4 linked regions of the Saccharomyces cerevisiae S288C genome follow. Changing the gene in region 1 together with any one later gene gives a genetic interaction. Each region holds a gene or a part of one and is shown on either strand. Other genes may lie near its edges.

Region 1 (5,195 bases):
CTTGAATAAAAGCATTACAACTAAAAGAAATTCATTGACAGAGTCGAAAAGGCATGTCCATGATGGCAAGCATTTTTTTACGACGCCACATCAACAGCAACAGACGAAGTTGGGGGAAATTGAAGAGGGACACAGTCCTAACATAAAAGGAGAGGACTTGAGAAGCATTGGTCAAGCAATAACACATCAGCGAAACAAGCGCCGAAAGCAAATATGGTCCGCCATATTTGGTGGTATATTCGGTGTGATATTAGGATACTCACTAATCTATAGAGTGATATATTTAAAGGAACAAAGTTTCTTACCATTGTTTCCATCATCCAAGATACGTAAACTGAGTACCAGAGATTTGAAAAAGGTTGACGTAAACCAAGTACAGAAGCTTTCTAAATTAAGGGTTTTAGAGATATTATCCGGTCATGACATGATCAAGGAACAATACGGAGTACCATTGCTTGATAAAGATGGCAATTCACCCACGTTAAATGAATTCAGCATGTGGTGCGAAGATCAAGATCCATGTGTAACTGGTATTGTAATGGAGCCAGACGATAAAAGGGATAGTTCGCACACTTGGTATAGAATACCCTTTGTTTGCAAATGGAGGATAACGCATCGGCCAATAAGTATACGGGGAACCATCGACGATTTACTGAACCGCATTGGTTTGGAAACAGCCGATTTATTTGAGATTATATCGCCGGAGAGGGTATACGGGTCGTTCAAGTACGAATACCCACTGCAGGGGGACTCACATGCATTACACCTTTGGTTTCATGGCGAAATCGAACTGGACGATGATTCTTTGATTGTATATAATGGAAAATACCACGTTGATGTTAAATTGCAAGAAATCGACCTCTTCAGACGTGAAAAGAACGGACAACTAATACAGTACGTTCTATACAAAAACGAAGCGGGCGACAAGTAAGAAAAATGTAAATATTTTTATCACAATTATGATTATTATCGTTATTAAACTACTTATTTTCGGTTACGTAGATGAAATAGTGTTATATAAGAATATTTGAGAAAGTAAAACTGATAAATAAATATAATGGAATGAAAAAATAGAGACGAACTGGAAGAAGAGAAAAAAAATTAAAGCACCAAATTTACTACTCTGGGGCCTATAGATGGAATATCAAAGGGGAAGATGAGAAAAGAAATTATACATTTCAGAAACGTCAATAGGGTATCATCATCGTGGCAGTAAGCGGCGTTTTTCCTAAATCAAAAAGGCCAAAGCACCACCAACAGCAGCACCGACGACTCCGGCGTTTAGTAGTTGACCATTTTGAGCGTGCAAAGCAGGAGCAGCGTTACTCGTGGTGTTGGATGCGTTTTGAGCATTTACGCTAGTAGCGAGGCCGAAGACAGAGATGGCAGAAATGAAAACTTGTGATACTTTCATGTTTAAATCGATATTAAATTAGCGTGCTTGCTTGGAGGGCTTTTCAGAATGAAAAAAAAAAGAATGAAGAAAGAATTAACCAAAGAATGGAGGTTATGTGTAAGAAATGGCATTTATATATACATTTATATAAAAATGTATAAACATACTTGCATTATTGATGTCCCATAAGGGGTGAGAAAAGACAAAAATGGAAACAGGGGAAAAGAAGAAGAGTAAAAAAAGGATTATTTTAGGAGAGAAAGGGGATTAGAAGAACATCGGGCATAAACCTTTGAGCATCATCCTTTATTGATGTTTGACACCTTGCGATTGATGAAAAATATTGATGATATTAAGGTATTTCTGATAGCCACTGCCCCGTCCCTTGAAGCGGCCTTCCGTCGAGGCCTTGGCAACCGTGTCTGGGTGTGTGATATATTACATCAGAGGAAATAAAAGCTTGAGCGGCTAAACTCCCTTAGCTCAGGGGTGGTCTGGCCAGGAATTTTCAGTGGCCATTTTTCCTGTTCCGGGTCCGGCCAATCTGTGCCGGTTTTCTCTAGAGGAAAAAAAAAAGCATGCGGGGTAATGATGTAGAAGATATACAAGCGGGTTAAACTACATTAGTTATGAGTGCTAGAAAGCAAGCGAAGGATAATAGAAGAGGGCTATTCTATGTAAGTATGAGGAGACACAAATGGCGGCTTTTCATATTTTCTTCTGCAATTTCATATAGAAAAGGTGGTAGTCGTCCAGATCATAAACAATTTTGTCTAACTTGATGTAGTCGGGCAGTGACTCGTTGATGCTTAGTAGTTTTTGGAAGGATTGGTTCTGATAATTTTTGGTAAAAAAGGTCATCGAGAACTCTCTTGGTTGAAAAACGTTCAGAATATGTAGAAGAACGTCCAAGTTGTCTTGCTTCCCTTGGGAAATGTCAAATACGGGTATGTTACTTTCGAAAGAGGCGTAAGACCAACCCTTTTCCGGAGTCACGTGCAGGGTGTAATAGTATTTTTCAGCGAGAATCATATTGGATGAGTATCCACATGGCGTGAACGCAAATGCATCGTGGTGAAATGATAAATCGGAGTCTTGGGCCGAGTTGACATATATTTCGTCAAGCCTTGTATTTTTAGTCATTTGGTAGCCGAGGTTGTGGCCCTTATCTTCGTTTGGCTCCACGAGAGCGGTTGTGGATGCCTCAGGCCCGCAAACAAACTTACTAGCGCATTCTGGGTCCAGCTCCGTCATCAGTACTTCGAAAGTTTCGTCGTCATCCTCGATGTACTCCTTTCCCTTAGGTGTGGAGCGGTCCGTCTCGGTGACGTACAGGTTCCAGTGGTTGCTCTTGTCATTTCTTCCCACGGAATAACTTTTACCATTGTCGAAAAATTTGTTCAAATAGTCGACTTCGTCAGCCCAGTTTTGATGGATAGCGGCTTGCTTACAGGGGAAAAGGAAACATCGTCTAGAATAAAACACTTTAAATGGTTTGTACTTGCCCCCTTGTGTTGTGCGGAAAGCCCACGATAACTCTTGCTCAACGATCTGGAAAAGCTTTTCGAGACAGAACAATGTGGTTGTAGTACCGCACGTCTTCATCGTCAATTTGTGATCGAAGACGAAGAGGGAAGACTCACTCAACAAAAAGGCATCCAGTTCTTTAGTCTTCTTCATGGAAAGAACTTCGCATTTCACTAATTTCAAAATCTCGATCCATCTATCCATGCCAATATTTCTTAATGTCTTTTCGGTCGTGATGGACTTCTTGTGAGGGAAGAACCAGATTTCCAGCAACTTCTCGGGACCCTCGAACGCATCCGTTGAGTCTAAAGTGGCTGATAGTTCGTGGTCAATGTAGTTGTGGTTAGTCAATTCTTTTATGGTGACAGTCATTCTATGGTCCGCCTATTTGCGTAAGACACTATATGAAAACCTAAAAAATATAAAAAAGAAGCTACAGTACAGTAATTGATTAACCTGGAAGAAAAAAAAGAAAAAAAGAGTTGATGCAAGGAGCGAGCTGTAGCGAATACAATATATACACGTATAGATATGCAGAGATGCTTTTAGTCGATTAGCAAAGTTTATTCGATGCCTAAATACCGGAGAACCGTGTTTGGAATTTTTTTTCTTCGAGTGGAAAAAAGTGAAAATTTCCAAAGTCAATCATTGTGTACGTACGCTGAAATTGGATGCAGAAGAGGTAAAAGGCGAAGGAAAAGAGGGCGAGGGTAAAAAGCCTGATTGCCAAACCATGGTGCCCAATTTATTGGATATTACTACTGATGGAAGGCTACATATCTCTGGCGCTTTCTATCAGCTGTCATCGATTTGAAATTCTTCTAGCCCTAGGAACGCCATTATGGGGCTTATCCGGGTAGCCAGTTGGCGGTTTTAGTTTTTTCACTTCTTGATTTTTTTCTAGTTCGAAGAATTTTTTCCACTGATGATTGAGCTATAAAAGAGCCTGATTAAGATGAAGAGCTCCGATTCTCTTCGTTAACGGAGCATCAAACATGACGTTAGCGTCAAGTAACCTACGATATTTGTGCAACAGACATGATGGAGTACCCTCATGCTTTGGCGCGTGCGCATCTATATAAGGTTAGGGACTGCAAAAGAAGCGGCGAGGCAGCCCACATCAAGTGGAACTACACAGACTTCCTTGTCGCGATACTACGGTCCCAAGAGCAATCCTAACAAGCAATTACATATTCCCCCGCTGAACCTGTACAGTCCACGGATGGTGCAGAAGTTATATGATTTGGGGGAAGACGCTTTTTCACATCTTCTTGCATGATAAGAGTAGTAGTAACTAAGTAATATGATTCAGTCAGTCTCTAGTTAATATAATTAGGCATTACCCTACATTGTGGCGGCCTCTTTTTTATTTCGAATCGGGCCTTCCTTCCACCCCGGCCCCGGTTGCGTCGATCAGAAAATTATATTATGGATGAGGATGATGAAGGTGCTTAACCTTTACAGTCAAACTTTTAATAGTCAACCATTCACAAGGACTAGGAATTTGTCTCTGGAAACAGCTGGTTCCACAAAGAAGTACTTCCACGACATTGCTATATACTTGTGCTGGTATATTTTTCTTTGTTAGTTAAACCCCATTTTTATAAGCGTATCGTTTCGTATAGTGCCGTACTCAAAGATCAAGGATTAAAACGCTATTTCTTTTAAATCTGCTATGTCTGCTGCTCCTGTCCAAGACAAAGACACTCTGTCCAATGCCGAGCGTGCGAAGAACGTCAACGGGTTGCTTCAGGTGCTCATGGACATTAACACTCTGAACGGAGGGAGCTCCGACACTGCTGATAAGATAAGAATTCATGCCAAAAACTTCGAGGCAGCTTTGTTCGCAAAGAGCTCTTCAAAGAAAGAATACATGGACAGCATGAACGAAAAAGTTGCTGTCATGCGCAACACGTACAATACGAGGAAAAACGCCGTTACTGCTGCTGCCGCTAATAACAACATTAAACCCGTGGAACAGCACCATATTAACAACTTGAAAAATTCTGGCAACAGCGCCAATAATATGAATGTCAATATGAATCTAAACCCACAGATGTTCTTGAATCAGCAGGCTCAGGCAAGGCAACAGGTTGCGCAACAATTAAGAAATCAACAACAACAACAACAACAGCAGCAGCAGCAACAGAGGCGTCAATTGACTCCTCAACAACAACAATTAGTGAACCAGATGAAAGTGGCACCTATTCCCAAACAATTACTGCAAAGAATTCCTAACATTCCACCCAATATCAACACCTGGCAGCAGGTC
Region 2 (5,682 bases), on another chromosome or scaffold:
AGCGGACTAATGCTTACATTAGTGTAGGACGGTCGATCCCGGCTTCCATGGAACGGTTGAAAAATTTGGTGCGAAAAAAAAAAAAAAAACGAACAGGGTAGGAAAAAGTAAACTAAAACGCGTCTAGTAAAAATCTGGCGTAAAACTAAAGGTAGAGAAAACCATTTTAGCGACGCTACATTTTTGAGAAATGCGCCTCTTTAGATGACCATCTATGGTTTTTGCATTTATCGTAAATTTTTTTTTTTTTGCAGCAGCAGCAGCATAGTAATGATATATATTTATATATTCAGTTGAGAAAACTTATACAGAAATGATCACTCGGGTTTCTTCTTTGCATACAATTTCGTCCATTCGCGAGCCTTAGCTTTGGCACCTTGCTCATTCTTTATCCAATCTTCAGCGACGTCATTAGCTAGCGGATCATTAGGATTAGGGCTAGCCAACAGTGCTTGAATGGACAGCAGGACGGTTCTGATCTGTAAAGCGGGTGACCAATTAGTTTTAAGCACATCAAGACATATACGGCCCAACCTATCAATATTGGGATGATATATCTTGGTTAAAAAACGTACTTTCGGTGCTTCCATTGGATAGTCGTCAGGCAGATATAATTCTAATTCGAAAATACCGTCTTCATATGGTGACTGTTCTGGGCCTTCGATTGTTACTTGGAAGTAACGTAAGTTGTCGTCATGTGGTTCTGCTGTAATGCCAGGTACTGGGTCACTTACTAATTTCTCAGTTTCCTATATGAAAGTTCACAAAGACTTTGCGTTTTCTGCCCTAGTAGTTTGTTCTGTTGAATTCCCTCCATATGAGCGTTTGCGGATATGGACAAAGGGAAGGCGGAACGCTGCTACAAACTGGACAAAAAAAGCCTTCTTGTTTTGGAAGTTTTGCGTTAGTATGTAAGTTCTAGCCATTATCAAGAGGAAACAGTGTAGAGTGTGACGGCTCAGACGAAAACGTCACTTCAGATTTCGTATATAATCCACTGCTCTTGTTTGAACATACCTTGATTATTCTCTTGGGTAATGATGCCATTTCTAACTATGTTACAATGAACCTGACCTTATTTGCTAATATTGGAAAAAAAAAGAACAGAAGAGTGTAAAGTACTATTCTCTATAGAGGTGTTTTGGTTCGTGGTGGCGCGCCATCTTTCAATGAATCACTTATCCTTTGTTTTAAAAACACCATAATTTCGGGTAACAATACGGATGCGGCATAATTAACTGAACTATTCTCTTTGATGGTTTAAAGGAAAACAAATTCCTGTTAGATGCCCATTATATTTGTTCACATGTAGAGAAGGCAAAGAAAAAACTGCTTATTGTACTTTGGTAATTTTTTAAATGATATTTAAAACGTTAGTATTTTCTGTTCCCGCGGCTCCCGCAGAATCTAATCATTAAGCTTGACTAGTATCAAGCTTTTTTCCTTCTTGTTCTGCATTCAAGTATTTGTTGGTAGTATTTCTAGACATCGAAAAGCTTTTTTAGCCCAGAAAAAAAGAGATGAAACGCTTAAATATCTCAAAATTAACATGAATTTATATTCTGTAAAAAAAGTATCGTCGCAAAATGAGAAATTAATGTTTAGCGATCTAATAGTGATCTTGAATATTTGACTACTTTGTTTGGATAACTTTTTCAGCATTGTCAGCATGCCCAAGAATAACGATTATTTTGCATCCAGATAAATGCTTCCAAGAACCTTTACTAGTTTTGTTTCTTGGTTTTTTATCGTCTAAATAAAAAAAGACGTCCTTGTTAAATTTCTCCCCAGTTGAAAAAAAATGTCTTGTGGCCTATCATGGTTTACTACAAACTGAATTGGAAAAGGATTTTCCTAATAGTTTGATGTCATGTAAAACGCCCTCGTATCTGCAACGGAAATACACAAATAAAGAAATATCAAATTAGCCGCCGACGTGTCATTTTCGTCGTTGTTGATGATCAAATTATCACAGTAAAAAATAGTACGGAATAGCGTACTTGAAAGGAGCATCGTTTAAAACACCGCGGAGGATAAGAAAGAGCCGGTCATTAGCATCCTACCCTTCACATAGTAAAGACTGAACATGACTATACGCTGCTTCAGTCACCTGTTCATAAGCAAATACCATGGATAGAAAAACAATCTCTTGTTACTCGTGTGCATCGAACCAGATTTCTAGCCGGGTAGTTTTGCAACTGAAAAAATTTTCTATTTTTTTTCTCAATCGCATCGCTCGCTAGCAAAGTGAAAGTGAAAAAAAAAAAATGTAAAACTGGGCATTAACCTTTATTGTTTCTGTATTCTTAGATCTTCATTGTGATCTGTTTCAGCGCGAATTCCACCTAGCCTTCTGCAAAAGTTCTTAAGAAAACACGACAGACCATAATGAGTGATAAAAACAGTCGTATCGCTATCGTTAGCGCTGATAAATGTAAACCAAAAAAGTGTCGTCAAGAGTGTAAACGTTCGTGTCCCGTTGTGAAAACTGGTAAATTATGTATTGAAGTCACTCCAACTTCAAAAATCGCATTCATTTCCGAAATCTTGTGTATTGGTTGTGGTATTTGCGTTAAGAAATGTCCATTTGATGCTATTCAAATTATCAATTTGCCAACTAATTTAGAAGCCCATGTAACTCACCGTTACTCTGCCAATAGTTTCAAACTGCACAGATTGCCAACACCAAGACCGGGTCAAGTCCTTGGTTTAGTCGGTACCAACGGTATTGGTAAGTCTACCGCCTTGAAAATCTTAGCCGGTAAACAAAAACCTAATTTAGGTCGTTTTGATGATCCTCCTGAATGGCAGGAAATTATTAAATATTTCCGTGGTTCTGAATTACAAAATTACTTCACCAAGATGCTGGAAGATGATATCAAGGCTATAATCAAACCTCAATATGTTGATAACATTCCTCGTGCTATTAAAGGTCCGGTTCAAAAAGTTGGCGAACTTTTGAAATTGAGAATGGAAAAAAGTCCTGAAGATGTGAAACGCTACATCAAAATTTTACAGTTGGAAAACGTTTTGAAAAGAGATATTGAAAAGTTATCTGGTGGTGAACTGCAAAGATTTGCCATTGGTATGTCATGTGTTCAAGAGGCTGATGTTTATATGTTCGATGAACCTTCATCTTATTTGGATGTTAAGCAACGTTTGAATGCCGCTCAAATTATTAGATCTTTACTAGCTCCAACTAAATACGTTATTTGTGTTGAGCACGATTTGTCAGTTTTGGATTATCTTTCCGATTTCGTTTGTATCATATATGGTGTTCCATCTGTTTACGGTGTTGTTACATTACCAGCCTCTGTCAGAGAAGGTATCAACATATTCTTGGACGGTCATATTCCTGCTGAAAACCTGAGATTCAGAACTGAAGCTTTACAATTTAGAATAGCTGATGCTACCGAAGACTTGCAGAATGACTCTGCTAGTCGCGCCTTCTCTTACCCAAGTTTGAAGAAAACTCAAGGTGATTTTGTTTTGAATGTTGAAGAAGGTGAATTCTCCGATTCCGAAATCCTTGTTATGATGGGTGAAAACGGTACCGGTAAGACCACTTTGATCAAATTACTAGCTGGTGCTTTGAAGCCAGATGAAGGACAAGATATTCCAAAATTGAATGTTTCTATGAAACCACAAAAAATTGCACCAAAGTTCCCAGGTACTGTCAGACAATTGTTTTTCAAGAAAATTAGAGGACAATTCCTAAATCCACAGTTTCAGACTGATGTCGTTAAACCTTTAAGGATTGACGATATTATTGATCAAGAAGTCCAACATTTGTCTGGTGGTGAATTACAAAGAGTCGCCATCGTCTTGGCATTGGGTATCCCAGCAGACATATACTTGATTGATGAGCCATCTGCCTACTTAGATTCCGAACAACGTATTATCTGTTCTAAAGTTATCAGAAGATTCATCTTACATAATAAGAAAACTGCGTTTATTGTCGAGCACGATTTCATCATGGCTACTTATCTTGCTGATAAGGTCATTGTTTTTGAAGGTATTCCTTCCAAGAATGCTCACGCAAGAGCCCCTGAATCTTTGTTGACTGGTTGTAACAGATTTTTGAAGAATTTGAATGTCACCTTCAGAAGGGATCCAAACTCCTTCAGACCAAGAATTAATAAGCTAGATTCCCAAATGGATAAAGAACAAAAATCATCAGGAAACTACTTTTTCTTGGATAACACCGGTATTTAAGCATCTTGGGATTCGGAGAACCAAGAGGACGATTGTTTTATTTTTGGGTTTAGAAATGTGGAGAAATAATTAAGAGTTATAATGTTTTTGCAAAACAAAATGAGTATTATATTACATTGAGTTCCTTCCCAAGCATCGGGTTGTTTATTTCTAGATATACGCCAACTAATACATTTCTAACTTCCCACCTTCATTACATCATAACCTGAAAGTGAACAACCTCCTCTTCGGTGATCCGTACTCCAGTTTATTTCATTTTTCTGTAAAGCAACTACACTATATTTATTCTCTATTTATTTTATATACCTATTGTATTTTAATTAATCGTTATTTTGTCCGCACCTTCTTCGTAATCGAATTTACCTTGTAAACGAGTCGTCATGATAAGCATTTGCTGCATTACTGAACGTTTATCTTAGCATGACATTAAAGTCCGTTTGTCTAAAATATCACCCAATTATTTCCGCGGTGTGAGCGCCAGATAAGGTGCTTCGGGTAATATGAGAACGCCGTTTCTTGATAGCATTTTTCAATGACTAGATAGGTAGATTACCTCTGTATCACACTTCTCGTACCAAACGAAACTCATATAAATAATGCTTTCCTTCTGGTGCCTTCTACTTTCCGCTGATCTCTATTTTCAAATTAACCGCTGAAATATAAACTGTGGAATACTATAACATAACATAGATTTAAGAATAAGGTATTCATGATCTCTGAAAAGGCTGCTACCGCTTTAGCTACTATAGCAACAGTTTGCTGGTGTGTCCAGCTAATTCCGCAAATAATATATAATTGGAAAAAAAAGGACTGTACGGGGCTGCCACCACTGATGATGTTCCTCTGGGTTGTTTCCGGAATTCCATTTGCCATATATTTCTGTGTTAGTAAAGGTAATGTCATTTTACAAGTTCAACCACACCTTTTTATGTTCTTCTGTTCTATAAGTTTCGTCCAATCGTGTTATTATCCACCAATCAGTATGGCGAGATCCAAAATAGTAATGATTGTAGCTGCTATTATTGCGGCTGATGTTGGCATGGAAGTTGGCTTTATATTATGGCTGAGGCCCCTTTACGAGAAGGGTGTTAAATGGCCCGATCTGATTTTTGGTATTTCTGCATCTGTTTTGTTAGCTGTCGGACTGCTTCCACCTTACTTTGAACTAGCCAAAAGGAAAGGTCGTGTTATTGGCATCAACTTTGCCTTCTTATTCATCGATTCATTAGGTGCTTGGCTATCTATCATCAGTGTTATCCTAGGTAATATGGATATTATGGGTATTATATTATACTCAATAGTTGCTGGAATGGAGTTAGGAATTTTCGCGTCTCATTTCATATGGTGGTGTAGGTTTAGATTCCTAGCTAAAGGCAATACTTTTGACGAAGAAAGTGGCCAAGCTCAAAAGGAAGAACCCGATGAAAAAATCGAACAAGATATTAGCAAGAGTGACCGAAATGTTAC
Region 3 (4,714 bases), on another chromosome or scaffold:
TTCATATTGACAATGTCATCGCAATTGAGGAGATAGCCATAATTCGGGAGGGTACAAAACCTGACCTGCTAGTGTTCAACTAATGCATCATGGGTACTATAGAGAGCATTCTAGTGGTAGAAAAAAAAAAAAAAACAAACTTTAAACCGGGTAATATAAACTTCTCATATGGCTTTTCTCCAGGGAAAGAAAGGGAAGGGATACTTCAATGACGAAGGCTTAGATGACAAGCTAATACAGAAAGGGAAAGGAGCAGGGCATCGGAAGGAAATGTTGCATTTGGAAGATGACAATGGACGACAAAGGTCAGTGATAGCGAATTTGCAGAAATTCGTTTATTGCTGCCTGTACTTGAGGTTTATCAAAGATGGATCATTATTCTTGATCCTCCTGGGGTGGATAATTTCATCGCTCTGTGATTTCATTCAGGAATTGACACTCAGGTACCTGAAGAAGAACTATTTAGAGGTGGGCCGCGACAATGATCAGGAAGATGATGAAAGTCTTGCCATCAGAGGGTTAGAAACACCTATTGTAAGAATGATAATAAACAAAGCCATACGATATTACCAAGGCCTAATACTTCTAGAAACAGCGTACTGTATAGTATACCACATTAGGCTAGACGTATCGAGAGACATATGTTCCAAACCGTACGGATTTGTGATAATGCTTTTGATAAGGGAATTTACTTGTCCGGTACCCACAGCGTTTCCTAGCAAGCTACTTCTGGTACTACTCGATATTTTATTACTTTTCTGCCAGATTGTAATAATAAACGGCTCACTGAGCTCGAGTCTTCAGAACGTGAAACTTATTGTCAAGGAGTTGAATGCAGAAGAAGAGGGCGCACTCAACATTCTCAAACTTAATACCTGGCACATGGATGCAACCGGACCGGAACTCATAGTACTCAAGAATCATGACAAGTCGATTCCTCAACAGGCAGACGGGGATGACGCTACAGAGATCACTCCTCTACTGAATATCGCCGAATAAATTCAAGAAAGGAAAAGAAAAAAAATTACCAAAATGAAAAGAACGGAAAAAAAAGATGAACAGAAAATAAAACAATACGTGGTTCTTCTACTGTCCTTCCCACATCGCCGACAGAGAAAAGACAAGCAAAAAGATGGGCAAGAAAGCACACGGAGGAAAGATGAAACCTGAGATCGACGAAAATGGTACTCTGCTAGTACCGCCACCAAGGACGATTGCGAACCAGGACCATTTCCATAGATTAAACTACCTCTACCAAATATCCGCTTACCAAACAAGAGCAAGACAGAAAGCAAGAACAGACGCACATACGCCTTTGGCACGCAATTATATCAAATCAATGGACCTAATTAGTAAGAAAACCAAGACATCACTGCTTCCTACGATAAAGAGAACAATTTGTAAAAAATGCCATCGGTTGTTATGGACCCCAAAAAAACTGGAAATCACATCCGACGGAGCGCTTTCGGTAATGTGTGGGTGCGGTACCGTTAAACGTTTTAATATTGGCGCCGATCCTAATTACAGGACCTACTCGGAGCGGGAGGGTAATCTACTAAATTCTTAGGGTTATTGGTAGGGTTTTGGACCAATGTTTTGAGCAGGACAAAAATGCGGAGTTTCCAGATTTTCTTTAAGAGCCGACCCCCCACCCCCTTGCCCCTATACATGGGGTACGTGCCTGTATTTTGAGGGAAAACTACGACATAAAACACAGGGAAAAAAACGAGACGCCCGTTTGAAGAAGGTAATGTAGGATTCCGTCTTGCCAGCATAGCGGATAAACACCGCAAGGAGGTGTTGTGGTCGGTAATGAGTGGCACGAGGTGTTTGCTAGGCGTCGGACTACCAGTTGATGTGACTGCTACGGAAACTTTGACTCATGATGAACAAGGACCAGGTGTAGAGCCAGGACCGTGTTCGCGAGGAAGTTCTATAGATGGTCTGCTGCCCTCGTTGCTCGGTCCACATGATGATGTGGATGACGATTCGGCGGCTTTTCACAAGTACATGACACTATCGCGAGATGGCGCAGGCGCCATCCATGCTCCGTCATTAGTCGAAGACGCCTCAAGGAACGACGACGACGACGATGATGAAGACGACGACGACAGTTCCATGTCGCGAGACCTATCCAAGGCTCTAGATATGTCATCGTCATCATCGTCCAGCCCGCGCGTTCAAAGTCGGCGGCACCGTAGTTCTGTGAGCGCAATATCTGCAATCTTACACCAAGGAAAATCTGGCCGCGAAGACATAACTGGAAGCCTTAGCGTTCCGGCAGAACAAGAAAAACTCAGTTTTCTTGCCAAAGCCTCGAGTATTTTCTTTCGAAGGAACAGTATGCCCAGAGACAAACATACGCATTCAGTATGTCCCGCTAGCCGCCCAGATTCCGAGAGATTTATCGTCACATCTGCAGCCGCGCAGTCTTTACGCCGCCAACAACAACTGGAAGACGCTCAGTACGCTCGAGTTATTACAAACTTTCGTACTATAGGATGGTGCTCTCCCAGCGAGATAGAGTCTGTGGAATATAAACGGTCCTTGATCAATGCGGAGTGGGACGAAAAGATCTCGCTTTTGTCTCACGCGCAATGCTATAAATAATAAATATACATATATATATATTTATATGTAGATAGATGTGTGTATATATATGCTAGGTAAAGAAACGGAAAAATCGAAAAATCGAAGTTGGAGAGGAAAAACAAGACATCAGGCCCGCACGTTTCGCGGGCTACCTGCCCATGTTCCGTCTCTTAATGTCATTCAACAATTTCAAAGACTTAATCTCGTTAATGTCATTGAGCTTTGCTTTCCAAAACTCATTTTCCTTGTTCAATTGCTCTATACGATCGCGAAGTTTGTTGATTTGCGTGTTTAAGTTCTGCAGCTTATTCATGTTCTCAAAATTCTTTTGTTTCTTGCGAATGCGGAACCGCTGCGACGCCTCTGTGTTCTTTCTTCTCCGCTCTTGCTTAATCTTATCCAGTTCGTTAGAAGTGCTCACGGGAGCTTCCTCTTCTTTTACAACAACTGCTGTTGTTGCGGCAACCTTCCCCTTTCTCGGCTCGCGGAGCTTCTTAAACTGCGAGACATCCTGGCCATTATTTATCATGCTAATGAGCTCCTCCGCGTTGCCACTGCTAACCAGCAGCAATGATAGCAAGCGCGAGCCCAGCTCTGAATCGCTTGATATCAGGTTCTGTAGATGTTCCGAAAGATTGTTCACGTTCATACCCTTCCTGCTTGCAATGTCAATGTTTGTTGATTTCTTTTCCCACCCTTGTTTCGCACTCATATTGACGAACAAAACAATTTGTCTTCGTAACTACCACTGGTTATAAATAGTTAAATTCAAGTTACCTCGTGTTCTTAGTCATTGGCTGCCCGGCCTTGACTCACGCCAGTGACCTACAACTATGGCGTTTCCGCTTCCCGCCCAAAACTGTGGTGTTAGAAAGTAGAAAAAGGTGAAAAAAGCGAAACCTAAAACCAAAAAAAAAAAATAAGTCACGTGCACTCAGTACCCCTTCTATTGTATTTTAGTTTACCTATTGGGCCGGGCGGGCCCCACAACTGTGGCATCTTTCAGATCATTTTTTTCCAGAATGCATGGAACTGACGAGTGAACTTTTATTCCACGGAAAAGGACAAAAAGGTGCAGTAATGGAATGGTCTTTTTGCACGGCAGTGATGTCGCTATCATATCAATCACTGAAAGTGAAGTTAACCATATTACAACAAGTTCACACAACATAAACAGTGTAACTAGCATATTATCACAGTCATGGCTCTACCTCTGATAAAACCTAAGGAGTCTGAGGAAAGCCACCTCGCTCTTTTGTCCAAGATCCACGTGTCCAAAAATTGGAAACTGCCTCCAAGGTTGCCCCATAGAGCAGCTCAGCGGAGGAAAAGAGTTCATCGACTTCACGAAGATTACGAAACTGAAGAAAATGATGAGGAGCTACAGAAGAAAAAACGGCAGAATAGAGACGCCCAAAGGGCCTACAGAGAACGCAAAAACAACAAGTTGCAAGTGCTGGAGGAAACCATAGAGTCACTGAGTAAGGTCGTTAAAAACTACGAAACGAAACTAAACCGCCTCCAAAATGAACTTCAAGCGAAAGAATCGGAAAATCATGCCCTTAAACAGAAATTGGAGACCCTTACTCTGAAACAAGCCTCTGTGCCTGCTCAGGACCCTATCCTGCAGAATTTGATCGAGAATTTCAAACCAATGAAGGCGATACCTATTAAGTACAATACCGCTATCAAGCGCCACCAGCACTCGACAGAACTGCCTAGCTCTGTCAAATGCGGCTTTTGTAACGACAACACTACTTGCGTTTGTAAAGAACTGGAAACAGATCACCGTAAAAGTGACGACGGTGTGGCCACAGAACAGAAGGATATGTCGATGCCACATGCAGAGTGCAATAATAAAGATAACCCCAATGGGCTCTGTAGTAATTGTACTAATATCGACAAATCATGTATCGACATCCGGTCCATCATCCACTGAAGAGAGAGAACTTCTTAATACTTATAAATACGTCATTGAACAGCTCAACTTTTGTAACGTCAAAAGAACGCACATGAAAGGAGTGACATTGCTTTTTTCTTTGCAAGTTTATTACTGTGGTTATGTGTAAAGAATTAGTTCATGGACATTGGCCGCAGAGTGCAAAAGCGTTTTGGACACCCC
Region 4 (4,840 bases), on another chromosome or scaffold:
AGAAAGCATTACCCAAACCTTCACCAGCAGAGGCACCCTTAGTCAAACCAGCAATATCGTAAACGGTCAAATGAGCTGGAACTTCCGAAGCTGTCTTCTTGTAGATTTCACACAACTTATCAAATCTTGGAGATGGGACAATAACACGGGCTTCTTCTGGATCAATGGTAGCGAATGGATAGTTAGCTGGGTTACCCAATGGACATCTAGTGATGGCTTGGAAAAAGGTAGACTTACCAACATTGGCCAAACCGACAATACCGGCTTTCAAGTTATTACCTGGACGACCCAATAAGACCTTTTTTTCTTCGACTTGCTTCTTTGGAGGCATGTTTTACAGTGCTATTTATTTGATTGTTTTTACGGATACTAGAAGTAACACAAAAAGCTAAAAAAGGCAAAATGCAATAAAAAATTAGTACTAATTATCAACTGAATACACTACTAAATACGATTTCTCGCAACGAAAGGTATGAGAGAGAAGACGTAAGTTGACTTTCACTGCATCCTTCCTTTTGGGTCATAAAATCGCTGGGATGGCCCTTGAAAAAATTTTTTCAGTGAAAAAAAAAAGAATTTTCGAGAAAAAAAAAAAATTAGGAATTGTGCGTGGTCATTCAATACGGAGAATTAAGTAACACGCAACAACTGCATTCTGCCTTAGTTGTCTCAAGGCAAATTGGCACCAACAATATGAACTTGTTGTAAAGCTCAACTCCAAAGAAGGGAAACTACTCAGATTTGTTTTCTTCAGTTTAACAGGCGTATCTTCTGCAAATCTACTACGTTTCCTACCGAAGACTTCGCTCTACGAGAATTCTTAGGTTTCTACGAGTTACGCGCCCTTCTTCGAACGCCATTCTCAGGAAAAATTGCATTTACGTAATCTTTTGTTCTAATTGATATAATGGCTATTTATACGTAATATCATGCTTAAGAACCAAGAAAGCCAATAATGGCATTCGGAGGAAGCAATCAGTGAGGAAAATTGTTGATTAAGCTAGATATTTCTATATCTAGTAGATCTTGTCAAGTTGAAGTAGCGAATAGGACTCCTGTATTGCTATTGTGATGTTTTTTTATTGTACAGTAGTTGTATAACTTATCGTTGGTATTAACTACCGTTTGTTTATACATCATGCTCATTATCTCGTCCTGACTAATGTGAAAGGATCGATATATACATTGAAGGGTCGACGTCCCCTTTTATTAGCTCCTACAAAGATAGCACTGGCATATATTTTTTAATGTCTTGGTATATATTATATAGCAACTATACTCGATGTCATAAAGAGGAATACTATCTTTGGTGGTTGTCTAACTCTGAGCAATGCTAAGGCCCTTACCATTCTAAAACAACCATTTTTTTCTTCCCCTTCCCAGTTATACCTTTTTTGACTAGTTCTAGTAACTGTTCGTCAGTAGTAGTGTTAGTATTCCAGGTAAGAGTTTCAATTTCATCTCTTGGTGAAATAATGTGACCATAATTATACATTTTGATAAAATCACTGATGGTGTCAATCTTGCTTTGGGGGTTTTTTTTGTTCTTTTCAGTCACCCAGTACCCTTTGGATGTCAAGCCTTTGAAAATGTGTAGAGATGTTGGTAAAGTTACAGGTTGTTTTGACATTCCTCCATAAGTGAGCATCAAAGCATTATTTTCCAACTTACGTGCTATTGATGCACTGGATTTACCTCCAACAGAATTCAAGGCAAGCCTCACCCTTGCATTTTCACCCAAAATCTTGGACAATACTTCTTTGGCAAAAGTCTTGTCGTTGTTTTGCGATTCGGAAATAACCTTCGTAGCACCATACTTATCCTCCAAAACTTTTGCTACCTCATCAAAATTATCACGGTCACGTATAACACTTAATGTTTTGATCCCTTTAGCTTTTGCTACTTGCGTAACTATTTTTGATACACTAGATGTACCGGCATTTTGGATAATCCATTCATTACCGTTACTGTTCCAGTCGATATAGTCTGATACTAATTGGAAACCGGTACAACCATTAACAGATACAGTTGCCGCAGAAAACAGATCCAAATCATTTACCTTGATTAAATCAGAACTACTAGAGAAAACTCTATAATTGGACCAAGTCCCTTGATTTGCCTGCAATGGGATAACTCGGTCACCCAATTTCAAATCTCCCTTGGAACTTCCCGAAGGTAAAGAAACAACTTCAAAGACACCCTCATTACCGGCGATAGCGGCTGGCTCATCTGTGGAGTAATCGTATGTCTTTTCTGGACGAGACGGGTATACTCCTTGCAACTGATTGATATCCGAAGGGTTTATGGGAAAGGCCAAAGTTTTTAACACAATTGATTGAGATAAGTCTTGTTTAGGCGTATAATTTTTCACTGACAAAACCTTGGTACAATCCTCAACTTCATGAGTTGAATAGATGAGCGATTTGAAGTGCTTGGGAATCTGATGAGCTGAGGACGACATGTAACGTTTGAATGTGGGAAGCATCTTGTTATATCAAATGTAATTGGCAGATTATGAACCTTCTTAAATGACAATGTACGTTTGTAATCTCCAATTTCTTTAGCCATGGAAACAACCCCTGGGTACACCACTCGTGCGTCCCTTGGAGGAGAACCACTCTTTTAAGGTAAAAAAAAAAGCACCGGCGGGGTCCAATAATGATAATAATACCATAAATAAGGAAGATGGTATCACCGATTGGTCCAGAAGTATTATCCATACAGTTGTTTTTAATATTATTACATACATTATATATTAAAAATGTGTTTCGTAACCCTAAAGCAAAACAAAGTATATACAGTGACACAGATCCTTTAAACATCAAAAAAACAAAAAAAAGTAAGTCAGTGCAGATCCGAGCCTTCTCTCTTAATCTATCTAACTTTTAATTCAAAAGTACTTCTCCAAATAGCTACCACTTGCTTTATAACTAAATCCCTTGAACATATCCGGGGACTTGCTCACCGAATTGATATTAATCGGCTTGCTATCCGTATAGGTTTCCTCATATGACATAGAAGTAAATTCTGTGTCAAAATTTTCCGCTAGTTCCAAATCCGTAATAACTGGAACAATTGGGCCTAGAGTGGTTTTTTGCAATTGTCCAGATTCTAATAACTTCCAGTCTATTTTTCTAAAGATAAAATGTTCAGTGAAAAGACTAGTTCTTGCAGCCCCTGATTTCTTCTTCTTAGACTTAGTAGGCTTATTATTAGCCCCGGTTTTGGCCCAGTATTTGTCAACATTCCACCTTTTGGCAGTTTCCTTCTTCAACAGCGCGTTTAATATATCTTTCATTCCCTCGCTCAGATAAAATGGAATTTTGGGGCCTTGCTTGTTTTGTTGAATCTTATTAATGATCACCTTATGATTGCTACCAGTATATGGAGGCTTACCTACTAACATGTCATACAACAGACATCCCAAAGAATACCAATCACAATTCTGACTGTAAGCTTTACCTAATAATATTTCAGGCGCACAGTATTCAGGCGTACCGATAATCGAGTATAGGGCATTGACGTTCTCTGGATCCTCCTCATCAACCGCGGAATCATTAGCACTTTTTTTACTCAGACCAAAATCTGTCAATACTAAATGTCCACGTTGATTCAATAAACAGTTTTCAGGTTTTAAATCTCTATAGACAACACCTTTCGTATGCAAAAATCTCAAGGCACAGCTGATTTCTGCCGCGTAAAACGAAACTGTCGTCTCATCTAGGGTCCCGTGTTCCTTCAAGTGGTAAAATAGTTCACCGCCAGGGATATATTGTAGCAGTAAATATAACTTTGAGTTATCGTGAAAAGAATAAAATAACTTGACAATGTTTGGATGTTCTATTTCAGATAGAATAGACCGTTCGGCAAATGTTCTCTCAAGCCTCTTTGATAATCCATCGTCATTATCGTTGTTATTACCATCATTTTTATCTTCGTCTTCTCTCTTGGAATCTGTGGCTGTTTGAGAAATTAAAATTTCTGCTTTCCGTAATTGCTTCATAGCATACAGCTTGGATGTATTGACGTCCTTAACAAGAAGAACTTTACCGTAGGCACCTTGGCCTAGGACTCTCACGGGCTTAAAATCGTGCAGGTTCCTTGATAATTCATTTTCTCCAATATTAGAGGAAATAATGTCCTGAGGTGTTATGGATAGTCTATTCGTATTAGTTCGCATTGCGTCCGAACCTGTAATAGAAAATCTTCTCGTATTTGGTGGAGTGAGAATAGGGAATTTGGAATAAGCTGAGGACCTTCTTCTCATCCTATGTGCAGGACTCATGCCATTTAGCGGAATCGCATTTGAATGAACCGAGAGGTGATTTATACTCTCCTCATATGTGATGGAGCTGCCTTGTTCATGATTGATATCATTGTATATTGCCGAGGAATAATCTACTTTAATGTCATTCTTTTTATCATCTAGTGACACACGATGAAGTTCTTCATCTAGTGAGAAAATCATCCTAATTACTGCCAACAGTATGCTCAGCTAGATTGGTTGATGAAAAATCTTATCATAGGGCACCTTCCAGGTAAAAGATCTACTTACTATTAGTCAGTACGTCCTTTTTTCATTTGTTTATAATTTTTTTTTTTTTTTTTTTTTTCTCCTCTCAATATTTTAGAAGTAACATGACAGAGCAACACGTTTATTTTCCTACATATAGTCATAAGTATAAAAACGAGCGAGAAATTTTGTTAAAGAATTGATATCATATTTTATAATTTACATAAACTAAATAGGGAAAGAGTAGTATAGCGTGCATAAGTTTGAAAAAAAAAAACTATTCATACACTCATATATACTTTTATATGGTCTTTTTTATATTCAAGA

Evidence for each region.
Region 2: mutations in SPE2 (region 1) and RLI1 together harm fitness more than expected from each alone (negative genetic interaction), as found in Saccharomyces cerevisiae (2 studies listed by BioGRID).
Region 3: mutations in SPE2 (region 1) and YIR016W together harm fitness more than expected from each alone (negative genetic interaction), as found in Saccharomyces cerevisiae (2 studies listed by BioGRID).
Region 4: mutations in SPE2 (region 1) and ETR1 together harm fitness more than expected from each alone (negative genetic interaction), as found in Saccharomyces cerevisiae (2 studies listed by BioGRID).

What each region holds. Positions count from the first base shown.
Region 1 is NC_001147.6:230,342-235,536, forward strand, and holds SPE2 (adenosylmethionine decarboxylase SPE2), read right to left. Parts: upstream 3,296-5,195; coding exon 2,105-3,295; downstream 1-2,104. Other genes in the region: AIM39 (Aim39p), read left to right, coding at 1-931; DDR2 (Ddr2p), read right to left, coding at 1,229-1,414; GAL11 (Gal11p), read left to right, coding at 4,599-5,195.
Region 2 is NC_001136.10:625,241-630,922, reverse strand, and holds RLI1 (Fe-S cluster-binding ribosome biosynthesis protein), read left to right. Parts: upstream 1-2,388; coding exon 2,389-4,215; downstream 4,216-5,682. Other genes in the region: E2 ubiquitin-conjugating protein UBC13, read right to left, coding at 318-749, 1,018-1,047; ILT1 (Ilt1p), read left to right, coding at 4,925-5,682. UniProt on the Saccharomyces cerevisiae protein: Component of the multifactor complex (MFC) involved in translation initiation. Required for the binding of MFC to the 40S ribosome. Required for the processing and nuclear export of the 60S and 40S ribosomal subunits.
Region 3 is NC_001141.2:380,816-385,529, forward strand, and holds YIR016W (uncharacterized protein), read left to right. Parts: upstream 1-1,812; coding exon 1,813-2,610; downstream 2,611-4,714. Other genes in the region: VLD1 (Vld1p), read left to right, coding at 271-999; ribonuclease P protein subunit RPR2, read left to right, coding at 1,133-1,567; MET28 (Met28p), read right to left, coding at 2,741-3,304; YAP5 (Yap5p), read left to right, coding at 3,794-4,531.
Region 4 is NC_001134.8:291,535-296,374, forward strand, and holds ETR1 (enoyl-[acyl-carrier-protein] reductase), read right to left. Parts: upstream 2,486-4,840; coding exon 1,343-2,485; downstream 1-1,342. Other genes in the region: OLA1 (Obg-like ATPase), read right to left, coding at 1-331; YBR027C (uncharacterized protein), read right to left, coding at 2,490-2,822; putative protein kinase YPK3, read right to left, coding at 2,891-4,468; CDS1 (phosphatidate cytidylyltransferase), read right to left, coding at 4,835-4,840. UniProt on the Saccharomyces cerevisiae protein: Catalyzes the NADPH-dependent reduction of trans-2-enoyl thioesters in mitochondrial fatty acid synthesis (fatty acid synthesis type II).